Linked DNA regions of Drosophila melanogaster. The protein of the gene in region 1 interacts with the protein of each later gene in a pairwise test. Each region holds a gene or a part of one and is shown on either strand. Other genes may lie near its edges. The genes, in order: CG12236, GATAd and nau.

Region 1 (7,321 bases):
CGGCGGCACCGACGTCCATTTGGTGCTGGTCGATGTGCGTAAGGCTGGCCTGACCGGCGCCAAGGCCGAGTACATCCTCGAGGAGGTGGGCATCGCGTGCAACAAGAACACTGTGCCCGGCGACAAGTCCGCCATGAATCCCTCCGGCATCCGGCTGGGCACACCGGCCCTGACCACTCGCGGCCTTGCCGAGCAGGACATCGAGCAGGTGGTGGCCTTCATCGATGCTGCCCTAAAGGTTGGCGTCCAGGCAGCCAAGCTGGCCGGCAGTCCCAAGATAACCGATTACCACAAGACGCTGGCCGAGAATGTGGAGCTCAAGGCCCAGGTGGACGAGATCCGCAAGAATGTGGCCCAGTTCAGCAGGAAATTCCCGCTGCCCGGCCTGGAGACCCTGTAGGTGCTGCCTGCTTTGTTTGTCCCTTTTTCTTTTGTTCGCCTTACGATTTACATCCTCGAAAAGTCCGCTTGTTAATATCATAAGTGGGAATTAGTAGTTAAGCCATTAAACGCATTTCAGTTTACATACCATAGCTATGGAGTTTTATTTTTGGAATGGAGTATCTAGTATTTACACGAAACAATGCTTTGTTATTCGAGATGAGTGGTTTGTTTCAGATGATGCAAGGGAATTCAATAAATGTATTTAAGTATCTTTGCAACAATTGCTAATCAATGGGCATAAGTATCCTTGGTAACTATGGTGTTAGTTTCCAAATGCCCTGCTTGCCTGCAATTCAACTCCTCTAAATGATAGCCAGCCATGAAGGCAGCAGTGGTCATGTGCAGATAGTTGGGCGTACTAAATGATACATTAATGGCATACCGCTGTCTCAGTGATCGCTGTACTCGATCTTGGTGAATCCCTTGGTCGAACAGCCCATTTCGCGATGAAAACGCGAGTTGTGTGTGGAGAGGGACCACTTTGTCTTGAAGCTCTTCATGCAGATGAAGCACTCGTGCTCCTTGCCCTGAATCTCCGAATGCCTGGAGGCGATGTGTCGCCGCAGCGCGTTCACCGACTTGAGCGGCCTGCCGCAGAAGCTGCAGTTCAGCGGTGCGAGGCCGGTATACTGGACGCTCTCCTCATCGCTGCCAGCCGGTGGCGCGGATGCAGTTGCTCCACTCTTGGACGACCTGGCAACCGTCACGGATCCTGGCTTCAAAGCGGCTGCAAGAGAGAGAGAGAGAGAGAGTTGGTTTTTAATGAGATCGTTGGACACAAGAAGGTTTTTTTGCCGCGCCCATTGAGAATAAAGTTCATTTGCGTTTAAATGGTTTACATGATTTTATTTTCTCTCCCGCTCTTTTTCGCCAACACTGCAGCTATCTCGTTCTCTTTCTCGAATTAAATTGATTAATTTAGTACCGTTTCGTTGACGCGTGTAAATCAATCTACGTACAGAATGGCTTAGACTTAGAGTTGTGTGTTTGGGGTGGAATTGGAATCTCAGCTAGTTATCCATCCATCCATCCAGTTGCCCCAACTGACCCGTTAACCCATTCCGGCCGTAATCCCATTGCTTCGTTGATATATTCTCAATTCTTTGAGAGCGTTGACGAAGTTGAATGAATCTAGTGGGTTGGTGGGTGGTTCTTCTGGAGGATTACGGCCGGCGGCCGGGAGTGAAGTCAATTTGGGCATGGTATGGAGTATGGAGAGATATAACGTTAACTATATATGTGTATACATAGATCGATAAGTAATACGTATGAGTTGTTTCATTTAACTAGATTATCTTTAGTATGTATGGGCTTTGAGTTTGTCTTGGAGAGGATTTCTACGGGTTTTTTTTTCTCTTTTCTTCTTCGCTTTCTTTTTTTGAAAATACTTTCAACTTATCGCGCTATGACTTCCGTTTTCACTTGGCTCGTGTGGGCTGGTATACTCAATTAAGTTACACCGAATAACTAAACTATGTCCAATCGAATTTGTGGTGTCTTAAACTAAACTAAAACTAATTTAGCTAATTTACAGTCAACTGCCAACGCTCTAATGCTGAACACAGATGGTCAAAAGCGCGCCGGGTAATTGGATTAAATCGTATTTAAATTTGTACACAAGGGGTAATATATATATTTTCTCATATTCTCCTGATCTCTGCTTGTGAGCAAAGTACACAGCTTCCTTCCTGCGGAATCAAATTGGGCAGAGAATCTCATGGAGGGGGGACTTTGTTTTTGGGTTTACCTTAATTTAGGTTAAGTTGCCTAGCTCTATATACAAAAACTGAATAATATCAGAGTTTCAAAAAATACATATGAGGTTGTTTAAGAGCTAAAATAAAGTGATCGATATGGGCTAAGTATAACATTAGTTTTCTACAATCAAATTAAATCCTTGTGTTCTGTTCTCTTGCACATAGTATCACTCGATCTAAGCTATTAAGCATCCAAAGTGCTCTCAAATCTTCCAAAATTCTTGTCATCTTGGGTGTGTTTGTGTGTGTGTGTGTGTGTGTTTATATACATTCTGTGGTGTGTCAATGGATTTCGAGGGCTTGTAACTTGCCGTCTGTATAATGAAGAAGTACCTAAAGCAAATGGTAGACTATAAAATACAAGTGGTACATGTACGCATTACGTGGACACATGACATGGCTTGGTCAACGACGGGATCACCAGCTCCACTCTCCACCGACTGACTAACTGACTGACTGACTCGACTTAGTGGCTATCAAGGTGTTATATATAGAACTATATAGGGATAAACGTTTCGTACTCCTATCTGCTTTGCATTTAAGTTGACAAATTTGGCTAGTTTTCGTTTTGGGGCCTTTGATCGAAACACGAGGGAATGGGCTGGTTGGGTTGATTGGTTTTGCTGGCTGCTCGCTAAGCTGGACGTAATTAACTATATCTCTCTCCCCTATCCGTATATCCTATCGATCTCAATCCAGATGCAGTTGCAGATCCAGATGCGGCTCGCAGGCGACCGAGACTTATGAAGACGCATCAGTTCTCCGTCTTGATGGCCACTTTCTGTTCGTGCGAGATGCGTATGTGCTCCCGCAGACTGTACTTGTTCTTAAAATTCTTATTACACATGTCGCATTTGCGCGGCGGTTGTGGGGTATGTTGGGTGCGAATATGTCTCCAAAGATTAACCGTGGTTATAACCATTTTGCAAAACTGACATTCTGTCCACTTATTATTGGGCGAATCTAAAAATATACAGAAAATACGTACAATCAGTATAACAGTCTCGATTGCTGCTTACGTCCTAAATCTCTGGGCAGAACACACCATTCATTTGGAGACATATTCGACAAACCACAACAACTAATAGTTAAATTAACATAACATTTAACAGATAAAAAAAAAACGAATGGACCATAAAATATGGTCAACATTGAAGACATGAAAGTACAAACTAAATAAAGTACAAACTTATGAAATAAGTAAAGAAAATGCACTTATGTTCGATGTACATGCATTGCTGCATCACTTCAATTCATGTAATAAAAATATATCTTTAAATGGGGGGGAAAAAAAAACACCTTAAACCCAAGTCAGTTGTTCGGATACTACTCACCATTCGTCCCGCTGGCCTTGCTGTCCGATTTGACCTGCGTCACAGACACCGTAGTCGAGGGACCAGTCGTCGCGCTGCCGCCACCCGAATCCTCCATCACTTGGCCGGAACCCGCACCCGGCGTCCCGCTGGCGGTGCCCAGCAATCGGGCTACAATGGATAAATCGATTGAATAATCATGGTTATATATGAATAGCCCAAATATAACTCACTCATCTCAATGGCAATTTCGGCGTTGTCCGCATCCGCCTGGTACTTCTCCTCCATTTCGGACTCGGTGAGTATTTCATACTCGGATGAGTACTGCGCCACATTCTGCGCCGCTGCGGTGGTGGCATCCTGCGACGTTTGCGGCGTTGCTCCATCCGACAGGCGGTCATCCACTTCGCCAACAATGTAATCGGGTATGTCCATCTTGACGGCGCCGCGCAGGAAAGTCATCTCGGCAGCTAAAAAAAAAAAAAAACATCGAAATATATTATTAAAATGATGTCTAAACATGGTGGCATCCACTCCAGACTCACTTTTCACTATGGTCTGCTCATCCTTGACGGCGTAGTCAACGGTTTCGGTGGTGTACATGTTGTCGTCGTCGTCCGAGAACGTGATCTTTCGCTTCTTAACCGAACTGGCCGCCGGCAGGGCCACCGCATTGGTGATGGTCAGGTGTTGCGTCTGCACGGGCGTCGTTTGTTGCTGCTGTGATTGCTGCTGCTGCTGCTGTTGTTGCTGCTGCTGCTGCTGCTGCTGCTGCTGCTGTTGCTGTTGCTGCTGTTGCGGGGGCGGTGCCGATTGCACTTGGATGTGCTGAATCTGGGTGGTTTGTACATGGTGATGCTGCTGCTGTTGATGCTGGACCTGCAGCTGTTGTGCCGCTGCGGCTGCTGCGGCTGCTGCGACCACCTGCGATGGCACCTGGCTGGCGTTGGTGGCTTGCAGCAAAGTGGCCGCGGGTATTTCGATGGTTTGCGTAGCTGTCTGCGCCTGGGCCACATTGGACACCTGCTGCTGCTGCTCGTTGACCGCGCGTATGGTGCTCGGTATGGTCTTGATCAGCTTGTGCTCGCTGATCAGCGGCGCCACCGGGATCTGCGGCTTCTCCTTCTCCTCGGCGGTGAGTCCTTGGACGGCCAGCAGCTCGGCAGTTTGCAGGAACGATTGCAGCGCCTCCTGCTGCACATTGACTTCGCCCTAAAACAGAAGTGGAATTAGTTGATACGTTTCAGGTAAGATCTCTTGTGGAATGAACTATATGAACATCAAGATACTGACAATTTATATATATACCATATAAACCCACCTGGTACATGAACTCGATAATCGAATTGAGATCCTCGAACTTGATAAACTTAAATATAATGACTGGATGCGGATGTGGGTTCTCCTTGAATATCTCCTTAAAGTAGGACGAGCAGGAGGAGAGTACCACCTTGTGGGCCTTGATCCTGCGTCCATCCACGCACAGGCTGACGTCCACGAAGTCATCGTTCAGCCGGTGGTTGTCCAGGGAGTAGGTGAGGTGGCGCAGGTAGTTGTTCCACCGCAGCGAGTACTGCTGGGTGGTGGCCATTGCGGCGTCCTCTCTGCGTCCGCCTCCTAGCCCTAGCCCTCTCCTGCTCTCCTCTTTCCGCCTCTTCCTCTTTCCAGTCCAATCCAATTAGCGCCAATTCCCGGGAAGGGGGAAGCTGCCCGCCTTGGCAAAAAAGTGGCGAATATGGAACACCTCCGGTTTCTGCGACCCTTTCAACGATGCGGCAACGTGTGGATCCACTCCGGCGGATTTCTTTATTTGGTCTAAGACCGCTCGCACTTTTTGTTTTGCCCGCTTTTACGGGGTTTGTTTACGGCGCTGTTCGCACACACGAATACGAATTTCTTATATTCTATGCCAAACAAAAATATTATACGCCTCCATTTTGTTTTCTTGCCAATTTCGGTGCAACCCTGCGTGTGCTGCCACCTACCAGGTGGCTGCCATTTCAGCCGCCAGGTGGCGTGTAGCCAGAGCTGCCACATAGACAGAGCGACAGTTTGGCGGGATATTTAAAATTAGCATTTCTACTTTTGCCAACATAACGCATACAATGTGCCCACACAGCTTTATAAAATTCTGATTTTAATTTAACTACAAATGCAAGGGAATACGTGACAATTAAATGCAATAAACAGAATTAACCAATGCCGGAGAATATATATATATATGTGTATGTTACTAAGCACTACATTTCTATAGTTGGCTTCAATGGCTCGCTACCACAATCGCACCAGAAATCGGAATATCAGGCGCAGCAGGAAGCTATAGACGATGCCCCGGCAAAGAAAGTCCAGCACGTAGAAGATCTTGACGCGAAAACGGGCGGCACTGCTGCTCTCGGGACTCTCCTTCAGGAGGAACTCCTTGGCGCCGCGAATTCCGTGCTGGAAGAACTCCGTGTAGTTGATGTTGGCGTGCTGCATGAAGCCAAAGTTGGAGCTGAAATTAAATGATAGATCAATGAAAAGAGATACATCTATAAGAAATGTAATGTTAAAAGGGCACTCACACTTCGTTGGCCGGAACTACATCGTGCAGAGCCCGGAAATTGTCGTTCTGAAAATGCCACTCGGTCATCGCAAACACTTGCAGCGCACTGAAGGCGGCGAATATGCGGCGTTGTAGCTTCATCAGGCTGGAAAAGGCATTCTCATATACATTTAACTTCCTCATCAAATCCGCCGCAACTTACAAGGGCTTTTCATTATAGAGACGCAGCAAAGTGTCCACCACGATGGCCATGAGCAGGTGCATGGTGCAGAACTGAAAGTATCAACATGGTTAATATACATTTGGGATAAACAAAACCAAAACTCACCCGCACAAAATGAAGAACCGGACAAGTGGTCATCCCGCCGCCGGGCAGCCAGAGTGTCTTCTCGAATGGATTCTTGCGGATGAACGTCTTACCGATATCGATCACCTCGCCCATGGTGATCGGCGATATATTCGCCGTGGCACAGTTGACCACATACAGATCGCTGTCCTTGGCCCGCGATTTCGATTCACCCATGAACTTGTACACCGAGGTGATCAGTGTACGGGCCACAATATCGGCGGGCACGAAATCGGCCACAATATTGGGATCACAGTTCTGGGAGCGCAGTATGCCCACGCCGCAGGCCACCAGCAGTCCCGTGGGTCCATTGAAGTTGTCCGCCCAGCCGGGCACGGGTTCCTCAATGGTGGAGACCACAATCGATGGCCGAAAGATGAAGATGGGCAGCCTGTCCCTGTACTCATTGACCACCTGCTCGGCCAAACTTTTGGTGAAGGTGTACGTGTTCGGCTGAAAGTTACCATACCTGCAAGGTGCATATTATATAGCATCTTATTTTCCACTCAACTCCACTACTCACTTGAGATTGAAGATGTCCAGAATCTCGGCGTCGTAGGTCTCCGCCAATTTGATAGTTGTACGCCAGTCGGCCAACGGTGGATAGACGCGCTCCTCCACCTCAAGAACTCCCGGATTCGAGTAGGTGGTGGACACGTGGACGAATGCCTTCAGCTTGGGCCACTCCAGGGCCAACTTGACCAGCTCGTGGGTGCCACGGGTGTTCAGTAGTATGGCCGTGCTCAGGGCATCATCGAAGCTAAAAGATGATGTATTATTGATTTGTATATCCTAACCTGGATCGTATATATGTACATATGTACTCACCGCACACTGGCCGCCGAATGATAGACAATGTTGACATTGCGCAGCCGCTCAAGATCCGCGCTGCCAATGCCCAGGCCCAGCTGCTCCA
Region 2 (7,433 bases), on another chromosome or scaffold:
ATCAGCATAGTCAATACCTGGGTGGGATCGATAGTGGGCGCCATTCCTCCGCTGATGGGATGGGCTGGTTGTGCAGCCACCCTGGACGCCGGCGCCATGATCCTAGCCGGAGTGCTGTACGCGTGGCAGTTCCCGCACTTCAACGCTCTGTCGTGGAACCTCCGGCCGGATTATTCACGTGCCGGCTACCGAATGATGGCCGTTACCAATCCGGGTCTTTGTCGCCGCACTGCGCTGCGATATTCGGTGGCTATTGTCGGACTTTCAGCCATGGCACCCGTACTGGACGTCACGAACTACTGGTTTGCCTTGGAAACACTACCTCTGAACGCGTACTTCGCCTACCTTGGTAAATATACTCATTAACCATGGAATCCTATATGTTATGTCTAATACGTTCTGTTTGCTTGCAGCGTACAAGTTTCATGAAAAGTCAGATAGTGGGAGCTCGCGGAAGCTGTTCCGATTTTCACTGATACACCTGCCCGCCCTGATGCTGCTATTTCTGACCAATAAGAAGGAATGGTATTTCAGCAAACCCGCCGGTGAGGAGAACAAAAAGGAGTCCACGTACAGTGCGATAAAGCATTCTGCTAGCAGTCTTGGTAATGTCCTGCCCGTCGCCGTAGCCGAAGGACCCAGATAGAAATATTAACATTAATTTGATAAAATGTTAAGTATCGTGTGAAATTTAAATATACTTAGTGTTCTGCAACTTGTAAAAACAGTCATTTAATATTAAGGAAACACGTACCCCTGTGCGGCAAATATATGTTGCGCCTAATAAATGACACGACATCCTTGAAAAATATGCGGTGTAACCAATCCGGCGCTGAATACAAATAAATTTAAAATATACAATTTGGCATGGAATCTTAAGCCGTACAGTAATTTAAATTGCAAGATTCTAAGTATGACCTTATTATATTGTTCTTTGAGCACTTGTTTCAAAAAAAGCACGGAAACGGTAAAAATTGTTAGTGGAAGTAATCCCGTTTCCCGTTGTTTCATCGGTTGTTGAAAATAAGGAATTTAAATCTATTTTATTTTGATAAATTGTAGCAATCGAATCGAACGTATTATTTAAGGCATTGTAAGGCATCTCTTCTTCAGATTCCAGAGTTTATTCCTTTGGAGGGTTTTTTTTCCAAGATTAAAAAACGACATGCGCATTTCCTAGGGATAAGTATTCTAGCTATTTTAGGAACTATATTCCGCAATTGAAATAATTTTAATAATAATAGTAAAATCCGTCAGATAAATAGTCAAAAATTTCTAGCTAAAAATGAGTATAGCTGTACGTTATCGATAACAGAAATACCAAAAAGTTGCCCCTATTTCAGTATATTTCACTGGTTCCTCTGCTGTATGCGTTGGTCTTACAAATGAAAAGAACAATATTTTGTATTGTGTTGCAATAGCCTTGATGTTTTATCACAGAAGCACATTAGCATAATCACTGATTTATCGCGATGCCGAGATGAATCATGCAGCTAACGCGACTATCGCTGGAGCCCTCGTTTGGTAATTTGAACGGGAAACTAGATCAAATGAGCGAAAAATCTGTGGCGAACCACTGGAGTGAATTATTTTTAGTGAGCTGAACGTGGATTGTGACAATGAAAAATTGAGGAATAGTGTTTACATTCATTTTATAATTTATTTTACCAGTTATCTTTTTTATCGCGATAAAGGAGAGGCGTATGAAAGTTTCTTTACACAGTGCAAAACGAATATAAATTTCTAATTATGAATAATGTACCACATAAGTTTCGTCAAGTTTGTCGATTGTGCCTCACATTGGTTAACGAGTGCGATGTTGCAGTACTACAGATTTACGATAATTCGTCGCATAATAATAGTGCCCCAGACAGAATATCGGCCGATTTTCGTGGCGTCGCGAATCGTGCCAACTGCTTTTGCAGCGCTTTAAGCCCCAATCCGTGCAGTTGCATCGTTGATAACCCGCTATCAGCCAACAAAAATGAACGGCGCAACCAGGGAACACCCGTACCCGTGCCCATACCCATACCCGTTTCCGTGCCTGTGCCCGTTCCAAGCCAGCAGATCCAATCGCAAACCCTTCACCATCACCAAAACCAAACTAAAATCCATTACACGCCAAGTGTGCCTTCTGCTGCGGACGCAAAGTCGAGTGAGCGCGAACGCCAATGCCAATTGGAGTCGGACATCGCCGAGAGATCAACAGTATTCAAAAGTCAGTCATCGTCGGATCACGAACATATAGAATATAGCGGGGAGACGCCATCCCCCTCCGCATCGCTATCCCAATCCCAAACAAAATCGGAGCCAATGCGCGAGGAGGAGGAACATCAGCATAATCATAATCAGCAGAGCGGACGCGAAGAGACAAGTGTGAATACAACAAATATAAGCGGAACCGATAACTACGGCAAAGAGCACGGTCGGGATGATTCATCATCACCACATCTTACATTTCAGATATTCAACTGTCTCTCTATTAAGGTAAGCAGATTTCCATCCAACACATTTGCAAAGAAACGAATTTACATTAATTACGCACATACACAAGCATGCTCTTACCTGTGTGTGAGTTGGATATATCGCGTATATGTACACGATAATGCCCGCACACACGCGCACTTTTGCGAGTGCTTGCCGTGCGCTGGTGTGTGTTATCTATGTGATTACGACACCACACGTCAAAATAATAGGAAATGATTGGGCCGCTTTTATCCCATGGCCTATTAACAATCGGTATCAATTGTTTGGTATTTTTTCGATGAACCATTGCAAGGCATTGGCCCAGGCCCACGCACACCACGCCACACTCGTACATCAGTGTCCAGCGCACGAATGTAAATATTGCTATGTACATACGTGTGTGTATATGCACGCATGGATGTATGTTAGAGACCTACATACATTAATCCACCAAAGAGATAACATTCGTTTCGATTGTTTAAGTGCGGATATACCGACGTACATACACCTTATATGGCCCCAATGTGTTTTTTTTACATACTTCGAGTACTTTCATTTGTTATTATGTATTTATTTATTTATTGATTTGATAATTTGTGCTCTTAATGCATTTCATGAGCTTTAGTGTTTATTTCCGTAGATGAACATATGTTATTTTTTTTTTTTTTTATCATTTTATAGGGTTGTTTTTAATTTTTTTCAATTAAAATAATTTGTTTCATGAGATTTACAGAGATATAAATTGTATACTAAAGTTTTAATACATGTATAATGATAAAATTGATTAAAATACAAATAGTTTTAGCTTGATTTATACAATATCAAAGCATCCAATGTTCTTCTTTTAGTTCCAAGTATAACCAGTCATCAATCCCATCGATCGATTTTGTTACCGCCTTGCTCCTTAGTCATTGCATCATTCTCATTGCTAGCCAACTGAATATTAAAAGTGGATACTGCAGTATAAGATACATTCATATTTCTTTCAGGCACTGCCCAACGATGGATTACCCAACGTGGTTTGTGGCGACTGCAGACAAAAATTGGATTCCTTCGAAAAATTTCGAACCATGGCGCACAATTCACAAATAGCTTTGAAAGAATTTTTAAATATATCCAAAAATCTGAGACCAGTAAGTATAAGTATTGATTGGAAGGAACTTAGTTAGTCATACGCCATTAAATTAAATGACCATTTGAATTACTACTCACGAACTATGTTTTTTGCAGGACCCAAATGATTTGGAAACCAAGCTCGATGCAATTTTAAAGGCTTCATCGGAGGCTATAGCGGCAAAGGCTCTGACGGAGTTAAGCACGTTCTCTAAAGTTAAGTACGACCACAGTAAATTGGATTCCAGCATCCAACCCGGCTTGGATCGGAAAATCGAGATTAGCAATCAAGAAATGCCAGCACATAGCTTATATCCAAGTTTATTCAAATCAATTACTATGAAAAGCGATCAAAAGAGCAAAGCAATGTCTGGATCCTCACACAGCCAGTTTGATTCAAAACTGCAAAAGGACTCGGATATCGAGAAATATGAAAATCTGCAGCAGCAGCTTGAAACGGCTGCCGTTTTAATGGATATAAGCAAAAAAATAGTAATTTCCCCTCCATGTTCGAATCCGCAATCTCCGTGTTTTTCTGCAGCTGTAGATACAAGTATTAAAAGTTCTGTGATAAAATCAAAACGTCCATCAAACCAAAATGAAATTCAGGACGGTGTTGAAATTGACCTATCCGTCAAAAAACAAAAGAACGATTACTCTAATCAACGGAACGCGGCCCCAATACACCATTTTTGCCAAACTCCAATGCTTGATATTCAGTCACACTTAAGAAGTGAAGAGGATTTTCAAAACTACAGTATTACCATTAACCAAGTTGGTGGGTCCGACTTCAAATCAAAAGCACCCAAGGCGAGTACCGGCTCCTTGCTAGACTCTGGCGATAGTTCCGACTCTCACAAACTAGAGATGGACATCACGTCCTCCATAAATGATAGAAAGACTCCGGATAGCTTAAGCTCGGATCACGCCACAGATGCGGCAACTACTCAACTCTGGCAGGCACTGGCCAGATCAGCCGGTACGTATTATTATCCGACCACTGACCGCATATTATTATGAAAAACATTTCAATTTGATAGCTAAAAGCAAGGAGGACAATCCGGCATCACAAATATTTCGAAATATGATGAGCCAGCCTTTCGCGTTTCCGGTTCCGTCGACAGTATCATTTACAAAAGTACCTGAAGAACCCATAGCACTATTAAAGGTAAACTATTTCTTCTATTTCAAGTAGCAAGTAGCTATAGGAAAGTCTAATACTCTTTGTGTTCTTAGGATCTATCAGAGGCTCAATCCAGCAAATCAAAACCATGTAGAAGAAAACAAAGTTTTCCTACCAAAACTGATTGCATCGATGTAGTTAATGAGAATGTGACTGATACTTATACCACTTCAGAAGCAACTCCGGATGATAAGAAAGATAAAAGGGTACGTTATCACAGTCATCCTCATTGAATCACATACTAATTATATTATTTCTTGGTTCAATTCCGATTTCGTAGAACATAAACCTTTTTAATGCCATACCTGGTGCTCAAAAAGATATGTCATGTTCGAATTGTGGCACCCTCACCACAACAATTTGGCGGCGAAGTGTTCGAGGAGAGATGGTGTGCAACGCCTGCGGATTGTACTTCAAGCTGCATGGGGTCAACAGGCCGCATTCAATGAGACGCGATACCATACACACCAGACGCAGGCGTCCTAAAGAATTGGAGCGATCTAAAAAGAGTGAGTGAGAGTTCGAAATTTATCTACATTTTTCGATTCGAAAGCTAGCCCTCTGTGACCCATAGATTTATTTATTTTTTGAGTATCTAACAATGAAAACAATTTGTTTACTTAATGTTTTTTTTTTATGTTCCCTGACCATTTTATTGTTGGTAATTAAATGTAACTTGCCAAAACAATTTATTTTTCTGTTAATATGTTCATTAAGCTATTGATTTAGCAATCGGAATATTAACCGCGTACCCACCCAAAATATTTTCTTGCTTGTCCAATCATATTTTATGATGTCATTGTTGTAGATGGCATTGGACGTGCCTGTTAAGTCGTTAAACTGCTCAAGTTTGAATAAATATCTACGAGCCTTTCATTATTAATTGTATGATTTATTTGCGAAAATTATAAATATACACTTTCTTTTGCAGAACACAAACAAATGTCATCATGTTCTTCAATAGAAACAACGAAGCAAGATTTCTTGACGGCTAGGGAATCTCTAGCCATTTCGGGCCTTGTTTTAAATGTATGTATCTGCACTATTACTTTAAAGTCTTGATAAGTAGATTGATCAACTAGATCTATTTGCATAAGATTTAAATACACTTAAACTTCAATTTTCTAATATGTTTTTATTTTAGAAATTCAAAAAGGAAATTGATGATACCGAGACCCCAGCCGCAGCAGCACTTAAAGATATTTTATCAAGGCGTAAGAAGTCAAATTCTTTGCCGGCGTTTAATGATACCTGTGAAAGTGCGGATCTATCCGCACCGCTTAACCTTGTTTCCAGTGAAAATAATGCAAAGTTAACATAAAACGCCAAATATATTCCCCCTACTCACTTTTCGAAAAAAAAAGAAGAACCTTTAACCCACATTTTGTTTATTTATGAGGTCGCGTAAGAGAGAAAAACAAATGGTATAGGATTAAAAATACGTATAGATTATTAATAAAATTTTCATTCTTTAAAACTAAATTTTATTCATTTGTATCTTTAAAAACTAATACCAAAATACTTATTAGTGTAAAAGAGGTATGAAAATTGAACCAGTATGTCAAAACTTTTAAATAATATCACACTAAATATAGACCTTAAGAGAGGACATCAATACTTAATGCAATTAAATTAAAAATAAAATTTATTATATTTATATTTATTAAAACCATTTTACAGTATTTTTAATTTTTTAATAACACAAATCGCTTCTATTAAAATGAAAAGTTCAGTTTTAACAATGATTTTTCAGCTGTCTTTGCAATTGAACAACTTCTAAAGCTAAAAAATAATAATGTTTTAAATCTCTTGCCTATACGAAAATCATGTGATAATATAATAATCTCCACAAAACATTTTAATAGTAAAACTATGCAAAAAGCAATAATCACGCAATGCAAACTTTTCAAGGAAATATTTAAATTATATACAATTATAAGAAACTAAAAAACTTAATGCTGTTTTCGAATCTACATAAATTGTCTAAATAAAATAAGGACTTCATAATAGGCTAAGATACAAAAAATATTACTCATTTATTTTTTCAAATAAAATACTCTATACAATTTTTAACAATCACAATAAAACTGGTTAATGTAAAATGAAAATCCAAATTCTACTGTTTTTTTTTAACTATTTGCCTGGGGTATGGGATAAGCAACCGAAAAATCTGTTAAACTAATGATGAGAATTTGAAAAAATATATATTAAAGATATTTAAGTATCTTAATTCGAATAGAAAGGGACTTACATTTTTACCGCCGACTGTTCAATGAGAAATGCTGTAAGTGGAAACATGCTGTTAGACTCCCGAATTATCGATGTAGTACAACAAGCACTCGCATCGATAGTCCCATCGTTTACTTTACATCACCAGGCGTTGTTTTGGTATCAGATCAGATCCATTTGTTATTGCCAGCCAGCAGCATGTTGGAGAACGGTTCGCACTTCTTCGAGGGCGTTGAGAAACTCCTTGAGATTTGGTTTGAGGAGAGCTCCAACGGTGACGATGATCTGCGTAACATCAGCAGGTGAGTCCCTCAACAAGTGCGGAACCCAAACAGCCGACATGTCCTTTGTGCACAAGTGCATGCACAGTTGCGGGCAAAAGTATACGTACATATGCGCCGTTCATTTTCGTCCTGAAAAGAAATGAAATGTATTTCTACAC
Region 3 (7,873 bases), on another chromosome or scaffold:
TGAAGAAGGCATTTGCTCTGGTGGACCAATGCATACCACTGCGATTTGTTGAGATTCATATGATCAATATGCGCAAGGAGGGACAAACCATATTCAATTTTGTAACGAAGTTTTTGCCCTCCAAACTGCCTTTCAAGGTGAATCTATCATCAAAAAGCTTGAATTGCGTTAGGATTGGTAATTAATCTCTACAATATTCTACACAGTTCGTGGTCCACAAAAAGTCGGAGGATCTGTACCAGCACCTGCCCAGAGATGTGATGACCATCGAGTATGGTGGCACCAATGGCTATCAGGCAGAGGCAGTGGATCATTGGCGCCAGAAGCTGCTGGACAGCAAGGATTATCTGGCCAAGGATGCCCAGTATGGTACTAATGAGAAACTGCGCGTCGGATTGGCCAGTGCCTGGGCCAATGGAGAACTGGACGGGATGAGCGGTTCCTTCCGCAAATTGGAGCTAGATTAAGTAAGACGACTCTAGTTGCTGTTTTGAATTACCATTTAATTAAGTTCTAATGCTATACAAATAATTTAAGGCCTATTCGGGTCACTGGGTATCTCGTGTATCCTCTTAAAAATAGCTTTACAATTGCCTAAGGTGCTGATACTTAAGTGCTAAGTGCTGCACTTCCGTTTGAAGTTCACGTGCAGAGAAGTGGGTGCAGTTGCTCCGGATGAGGGCGGCGATTGGGTATCTGAAGCGGAGGGCGTGGCCTTATTTTGAATGGGACTCGTGGTGCTCTTATTGATGCTCTGAACAATCAGATTTAGACAGTCCAAACTGGAGCCATTGGCATTGCCATCAAAGTCTATACAAAAATATTTTAGATAAATACATCAAATACTTTTTTTTTTTTACTTTTACCTGTAAACTGACCATATTTCTCCATATGTTTGTTGTAAAAACTAAGTTTATCTTCTAGATAAGCGCCAGCATAGGAGCTCTGCAAGGAAAAACATAAATAAATACAAATGGAAAAATCATATATTTTTTTTTTAGTTGGCCTCAAGCGAAATTGGGGAAACAATAAATTACAGAAAAGTGTCGCCGTCGAAATGACAACGTCAAATTTGCTCCGGTCCTGTCAACTTGGCCAACGAGTGCCATACAGAATGCAGTCTAATGATGAGATTAAGCCAAAATTTATGCCAGTAAAGAGATTCCACAGGCCAATTAAAACGCATTGAACCACCGCACCACACCCATTGTCTGCCCCAACATTGTGGGGCATTGTGTGCAGTGCACTTTAGAGGCAATTAAATTAATTTTGCGCATACGCAGACGACAGACAAGGCATCCGGAGATTCGGTCGGGATTTCATTAGAAAAATTCGCTATAACGCCGATGCTAAGCAAATTATAATTGCCACTTCTGGGTGGGTTTCCTTGCTGCCCCCCCCCCCCCCCCAAATCCGCATCTGGTGCATCCAAAGTGCCGTCACTTCGTCTGCAAGGATCGACAAATACAGGGCATCCCGTATGGCTTATATGTATGTACGTCTGTTTATATTTAGCGGACAACAAAGTACGGAGTGATAAAACAACAGAATAGCATTCAAAGCCGAGTGAAGTGAACTAAACTGAACGAGAGCAGATGAACTCACACTGCACTTTTATAAAGCGATTTATCATTTTTTTCAAGCGTTTAGTGACAGCCTGCGCTCGATATGCCGCAGTCAGCAAGCGGATACACTGGGAAAAATTACACAAAAATAGCACAACTGGGTTAAAAGCAATAAAGTCTATTTATATGACAATATAATACCGAATATTGAAAAATTTCTTTGGAAATAAATTCTCAATTTAACAAGCATGTTCGAAATATATTTTTAGACATGCCCGACTTCTTTCTGTGTACTTGTTTGCAGGTCTTTATGGTATTTCGGTGTATTTTATTTTATTTTTTTTTTTTTGAGCATATATCATGCGTTGTATCTGAATGAAATGCCACTTATCACTTGGGCATTCCGATTCTTCGGTTGCGTAAAGATTTTAAGCCGCTTTTTGGCGCGTTCCCCTTAGATGTTCTCCTCCGATCTGTGAGCGTGTAACGGATATGCGGCATTATGCGATTTGTTAGCCATAAGTTGCATGAGTTTTTACCATGAAATATGCTTTTAATATACTAAACCCACTTTAAAAATATTGCCACTTCTCTGCGAGTTGTGCGGTCAGTCGTAAGATCTCATAATCCATTTCGGAAATATCACCGAAAAAATGCAAGAACTACTTGCCAGATATGTATTTACATTTTTAATAAGATGCAAATAATGTTGATGTTTATTTTCGGAATTATTTAATCAATCTTTCTCGGAAACTGAAAAAGTTACTTTTTGAAACGGGGACGTGTGATAAAGATTATCAGTGGTGGTTAGACCATAAAAATCACACCAATTATCTCTTCTCAATAATTTGCAATATCATTTATAAACTGCTTTCCATTCGTAGAAAATATCTAATAGTGTAGCTGTAAAGCTATTCAAAGATAACAAAAGTTTTCGGTAGCATATCTGTACCTGATAATAGTTTAAAAACTGAATGGTAGGGAATCCGATCAATCCTGACTCACTGTCCAAATGGATGGTTTGCACCCACGTTACCCACATCTTTCCGTGAGTCATTTGCACCGAAAAGCTCTATCTTAAGACTTCAATGATTGCGGCTATGTATTTCATTACGTAGAAATTTGACTGATATAGACAAGGTGGCACTTTTGTATATCGCAAGTACTACACTTTATTGGCGGCGATAAGGAAATTTATGGGCCAACTTAGCGTTCGCATTTCGTGTTGGAAACAGTTCAAAAGGAAATCTTTTACTTAAGTCGCCGAGGTTTATAAATACACGGGCTCCAAATGAATGGATATGGATGAGATGGATGGATTGCCAGGGTCTGAGATGCATTTGAATGTCTGCACGTTTGGCGCTATGCCAGTTTTTAATCAAACTATGGCCGCACATTAATATCTGCCAATGGGGGGCGCAGTCAACATACAAATACGCTAAGTTTTATGGTAAATTAACAAATTTGTACATTAAAATTGTGAGAAACTTAAACAAACTGCATGGAAATTACTCAGCGCAGGCCAACCCGAAAGTCAAATGAAAATGAAAAGAAAAGAGGGCGTTGAAGATGATGGCAAAAATGTTTGCATAATTGTTGACAATTTGTTGCCCTGTCATTCGGGAGTAGATATGCATGTACAACCCGCTCCCGTCCCCCCCCCCCCATTTTTCATTCATTTTCATTTCCCTTCAATGACCAACGACTTGGCCATATCTTGCAACACCTTTCGAAGAAGAACACCCCGAGATCTTGTCATGTTTTTCCTGTGCAATTTGTCAACTGCCACAACGGTTTTGGTTCCACGTCGCAGGGAAGCTATTATGAAACAGAAAAGCGATCGTCGCAATCCACCAAACATGGGGATGAAGATTCTGGTGCCGATTCCTGCTCCAACGAATTTGTTGTAATTAATTTACAACACGATTTCCATTCGGGCTTATAAAAAGAAAATTTATTTATTGCCTTTCACTAAATGCAGACAACGACCCTTTCCCCTGTAAATTCTCCTAAATTCTCCAGCTATTTTTCCTCTAAATTTTTTTTCCCCCGTTCCTTTGATAAAAGTTTGCTCCCCTCACATCTGGGCAAACTTTCTCGATCATAACTCATAATATTCCCGGTTTTCGAGTGAATGTGATTCAGAAATGTGGATGATGGGCTGCCGGCGTAGCTTATTAAGTAGCACGTCAGCGAGCGCATAAATTCCGGTCAGCAGATACAACAGATATCAGATACAGTTTGGGGACTGACTCTTTCGGGGATCCGTCCGTATACATATTCTATTTTCATGTTCGCCATTGCGACGGACCAGACCCTGAGATTTTGATGAATGTGCGCGTCGCCAAAGAAAAATGTACGAAAGCGCTGCTCATGCATGAGAATTTTACGAGAAAATAATTGCGGAACGATATACGCGCCGATATTGTGGGCTTAATATTAATTGGCGGTTAGTGGACAAAACTTACCAGATAATCGGACTGGCAGCTTTTGCCGCTCAAACTGGGCGCCAGGTTGTCGCCATCGCGTGTGGTACTGGATTCCTAAGATAATCAATTTAACCAATGGTATTCTCTATTCGCGGTGAGATGAGTTCACTCATTTACCTGTAGCAGATCCTCCAGGCTCTCGATATACTCGATGGCATTGCGCAATATCTCAACCTTCGGCAGGCGCTGGTTGGGATTGGATGAAGTGCGTCGCTTGAGGATCTCGAAGGCCTCGTTAACCTAGAATGTGAACGGAATAATAATCAATTAATGGCCATCGTTGAAATCATGGAAATCCATTAGGCGTGCCATAAAAACACAGAACACGCGGCGTGTTCCCCTTTTAAGTGGCTCTTTAATAAAACATATTTTAAATTAAATAGAGCATAAAATTTTCAACAATTAAGCCGTTCGCCCGTCGTCTGTCTCTTTATGACAGCCCCCCATCACCATACCCCTTCTAACCGGAGCTCCCACGATTTTCCGCCTTTCACTAATGTCTCTATGTGGAGCTATAAATACGTGTGGTTCATCCAAAACTTTTACGACCGTCGAACTCATAAATGCCGCTGTTTAACTCTTGGTCTTGGCAAATGTTTATGTTTTACGCATGTTGGGTGGTTTCCCTTTCTGCGCGTTATGTCAATGGATCCGATCCTCCCTGGTGGCGATGTGTTAATTTGTGGGGTGCTAGCCGAGCTAATGAAATTACTACAAAGTTGCAGTCCTTAAACGCAGGGGACTTGCGAACTGTGGCGTAATCTATTTTTAAGATCGACCGAGGATTAATAAGCCTGCTGATGGAAAAGGACTCTTGAACAGAGTTCTGAGTGGTATGCCTATATTCAAGTCCCCATAAGCAGTTTTAAGTTATTATTATAATAATGAATTGAATGAATCAAAAATCTACTTTTAAAGTGAACCATTCTTTTAATGAATGATTGAAAGATGAAAGTGCTGTATTTGTATCAGTAGTTATTGCACAATATGTTTTTAATATTTGATAAATCTGAAAATGTGTGTAATGTGAGCATGGGATGCCTACCTTTCGCAGTCTCCGGCGTTCCCTCATAGTGGCCGCTTTCCGACGGTCCACGGTGACGCTCTTCTTTTTGCACGCCTTGCAGGCCCAGGTGAGGCATGGTCTGGAGGATTGGGCGGAGGAGCAGACGAGGGGCGCCAGGACGTGCTCCTCGGAGCTGAGACTGCTGTTCTCGTCATCGTAGTCGGTGGTGTAGATGGGCGACGGTGTCATATTCATGCCCAATGGCTTGTCCAGCTCAACCGGATTATGATTCGCATGACTGTAGTTGCAAGACGAACCCGATCCGTTGGCTGAGATGGAAGCCGCTCCACCATTTCCCGCACTCGCATCACCGACGGCATTGAAGCGGCTAAAGAAATTCTGCAGTGTCTGGTGTGGATTCTGGCCGGGATGGGCTATCGGATTCTGTTGGCTATAGGCGCTAAATCCGTATCCAGGATGTGTCGGCTGACCATAGCCATTGTGGTACTCCTGCTTGATGGTTTGAGCCGCAGGCATTTCACTGCTGCCACTATTATACTTGGTCATTTTTCACTTCACTACGATTTTGTTATATTTTACAAAACAATTTTGGTAGTTCAACAAGTTGCTGAATTTAATTGCTGATACTAATTACGATGGCACAGTTAATTTAGTCAGTTGATTATTACCATTTTTAACGTGGTTTAAGCTCTTTTTCTAGGTATGCTAGGTCATTAACACAAATTTATGAGTTATGGTTACACACAAGTTTTAGGCTGTGGTTTCTATTTAATTTAATTTGTTATAGTTTCACTTTCGGGATTTTTAAAATAGAACCTTAATTAGTTGGTTACACTTTAATGATGCTTTGTAAAAACCTCCGACATTTTCAAAAATATTTTTCGACTTCGATTTGCGGACCGTACGCGAGTGTGTGTACCGCCTTCCGTCGCAATCGCAACACATTTGGTGACAATATCCAAGAATCCAAGATATCGTGGGCCCCCAGATGTGCTCGCGATCCTCTCGGAGTGCGGATGCTGCTGCGTTTTGAGTGGCTGAGTGGCTCTCGAGTGGTTCCTATTTTTAGAGGCGCCCCGCCATTAGACGACATTGGCGGTTCTCTAAGGCAGAAGGACGCTGCCGCAGGCCACGCCCCTCCCCTTTTTTTTTTAATTTTCGTGAGTTTTCAACGCGATTTTCCGCTCAATGTGAAGCGTGTTTGTGAAAGGCTTAGTTCAAATCAAATAAATTGAATTTTACCTGGCCAGCGATTAGTGTGGGTTGGTGGGGGAGGTGGTGGCATAAATTAGCTTTCGGGGAGCTCAACAATTCGTTAATGTGACACATTTAGTGGAAAATCCGGCCCCCCGTCCACAGATCCCATCAATGGCAGCCACTTTTCTATTGAGTTATAGTTGCAACGGCCGAGAAAAAAGCGAGAAATTGAGCAAAAAAATAAATAAAATAGGAGAGGCCGAAATAAAAATAGTCAAAGAATTGTGTTTATTTATCGCTGCTCAGGCACAATATATATCTTTGGAAATCACCTTTAAATCTTCCCCAGCGATATTGTAAATCTTTTGTCTTAGGACCGTGGTTTGCTCGAGCACTTTCCATCTTCATTTTTCCACTTTTCCCTTCTCGTCTTTTTCCATTTCGTATTTTCTCCTCACATTTTCCATCTTGCCGTACTTTGATGGATGCTTTGTTTTGATTCGGTCTGATGGTATTTTGGTGGCAAAGACTATTTGTTGTGCCACACGATAATCCCAATTGTAAATTTAATCATTATCGGCCTTTGTTTTCGGGCAGTGTACTGTCAACGCACAAATGTAACTCAGAAAAGAACGTTTAAAAAATCAAAATCATTAAGTAAATTCGATTTATTGTGTTATTAATTTAATCAAATAAATAAAATACATATTAAAACTCATTCTTATGTGCATATTTGATTTTACTGGCTACTTGATTGAATTTTCCATAATTCCATAATCCACAAAAAAAACACATTCACTCATACAAACAAAATGCATTCACATATTAACAAACACCATACACTAGTCGAGATTCCTTAGCAAGAAAGTTATGGCTTCAAATTTGCCTTTATCCATGAGAAAAATGCTCCAGTCTTTGTGTAAACACCTGGTTTTCTATCTCCGCAATTCTCACTTCCATATGAAACGATACCGGCCAGATATACGATATCCTGGTAATCATTATTAAGGGTTAACATCAAGGGACCTCCGGAATCACCCTCACAGGAGTCTTCTCCTCGAATGCCAGAAGCACAGATTTGTGATTCGTTGCGGAAGAACGATATCTTGTCTTGGCAATAATATCTGTTTTCATAAACGGTGTTATGCAACAACACCTGACTATATTCTCTGTTTTTCGTGTAGCCCCAACCGGCGATTTGCAATGGGTGATTATGCAAGGGGATGGGATCTTTCGGCACACAAATCGGTAGAATTTCGTGGGTATATCTAAGGAAATAAAAACTTTGGTTCATAATAGTCAGAAAATGATGCCTTATATTGCAATACTCACCGAACTGGCGTTTGAAGACGCACCAAGGCGATATCGCTTTCAAACCTTGAGGTGTTGAAATATTGTTCGTGGACATTGAAATACTCGATGCCGATCTCTACAAAGGGGGCAGCGCAGTTTCCTGTAAAGTCGCAATCCGGATTGGTGGTAATATCATGCTCGCCCAGCCGCACTCTCCTGAGCACCAAATCTGTGTTCACCATTTTATCCTTGACCACACAGTGTGCAGCGGTGAGGACGTAGCGTTTGTTAATCAGGGAGCC

What was found.
Region 2: the proteins of CG12236 (region 1) and GATAd interact in a two-hybrid assay, tested with the Drosophila melanogaster proteins (one large-scale study listed by BioGRID).
Region 3: the proteins of CG12236 (region 1) and nau interact in a two-hybrid assay, tested with the Drosophila melanogaster proteins (one large-scale study listed by BioGRID).

The regions. Positions count from the first base shown.
Region 1 is NC_004354.4:5,906,276-5,913,596, reverse strand, and holds CG12236 (uncharacterized protein), read right to left. Parts: upstream 5,463-7,321; 5' UTR 5,106-5,462; coding exon 4,836-5,105; intron 4,727-4,835; coding exon 4,060-4,726; intron 3,985-4,059; coding exon 3,748-3,984; intron 3,686-3,747; coding exon 3,536-3,685; intron 3,165-3,535; coding exon of another isoform or gene 2,956-3,164; exon of another isoform or gene 1,808-2,955; intron 1,172-1,807; coding exon 834-1,171; 3' UTR 518-833; downstream 1-517. Other genes in the region: Shmt (serine hydroxymethyl transferase), read left to right, coding at 1-400; CG4020 (uncharacterized protein), read right to left, coding at 5,786-6,008, 6,079-6,204, 6,262-6,332, 6,388-6,874, 6,929-7,165, 7,234-7,321.
Region 2 is NT_033779.5:10,332,326-10,339,758, forward strand, and holds GATAd (GATAd), read left to right. Parts: upstream 1-1,588; 5' UTR 1,589-1,749; coding exon 1,750-2,487; intron 2,488-3,455; coding exon 3,456-3,599; intron 3,600-3,696; coding exon 3,697-4,558; intron 4,559-4,619; coding exon 4,620-4,747; intron 4,748-4,815; coding exon 4,816-4,968; intron 4,969-5,042; coding exon 5,043-5,271; intron 5,272-5,693; coding exon 5,694-5,791; intron 5,792-5,906; coding exon 5,907-6,083; 3' UTR 6,084-6,860; downstream 6,861-7,433. Other genes in the region: Cox10 (cytochrome c oxidase assembly factor 10), read left to right, coding at 1-349, 414-646; SamDC (S-adenosylmethionine decarboxylase), read left to right, coding at 7,190-7,293.
Region 3 is NT_033777.3:23,712,330-23,720,202, forward strand, and holds nau (nautilus), read right to left. Parts: upstream 6,029-7,873; 5' UTR 5,628-6,028; coding exon 5,100-5,627; intron 4,295-5,099; coding exon 4,172-4,294; intron 4,109-4,171; coding exon 4,034-4,108; intron 985-4,033; exon of another isoform or gene 946-984; coding exon 867-945; exon of another isoform or gene 811-866; coding exon 617-810; 3' UTR 485-616; downstream 1-484. Other genes in the region: CG10300 (uncharacterized protein), read left to right, coding at 1-137, 207-467; CG10232 (uncharacterized protein), read right to left, coding at 7,147-7,546, 7,611-7,873. UniProt on the Drosophila melanogaster protein: May play an important role in the early development of muscle.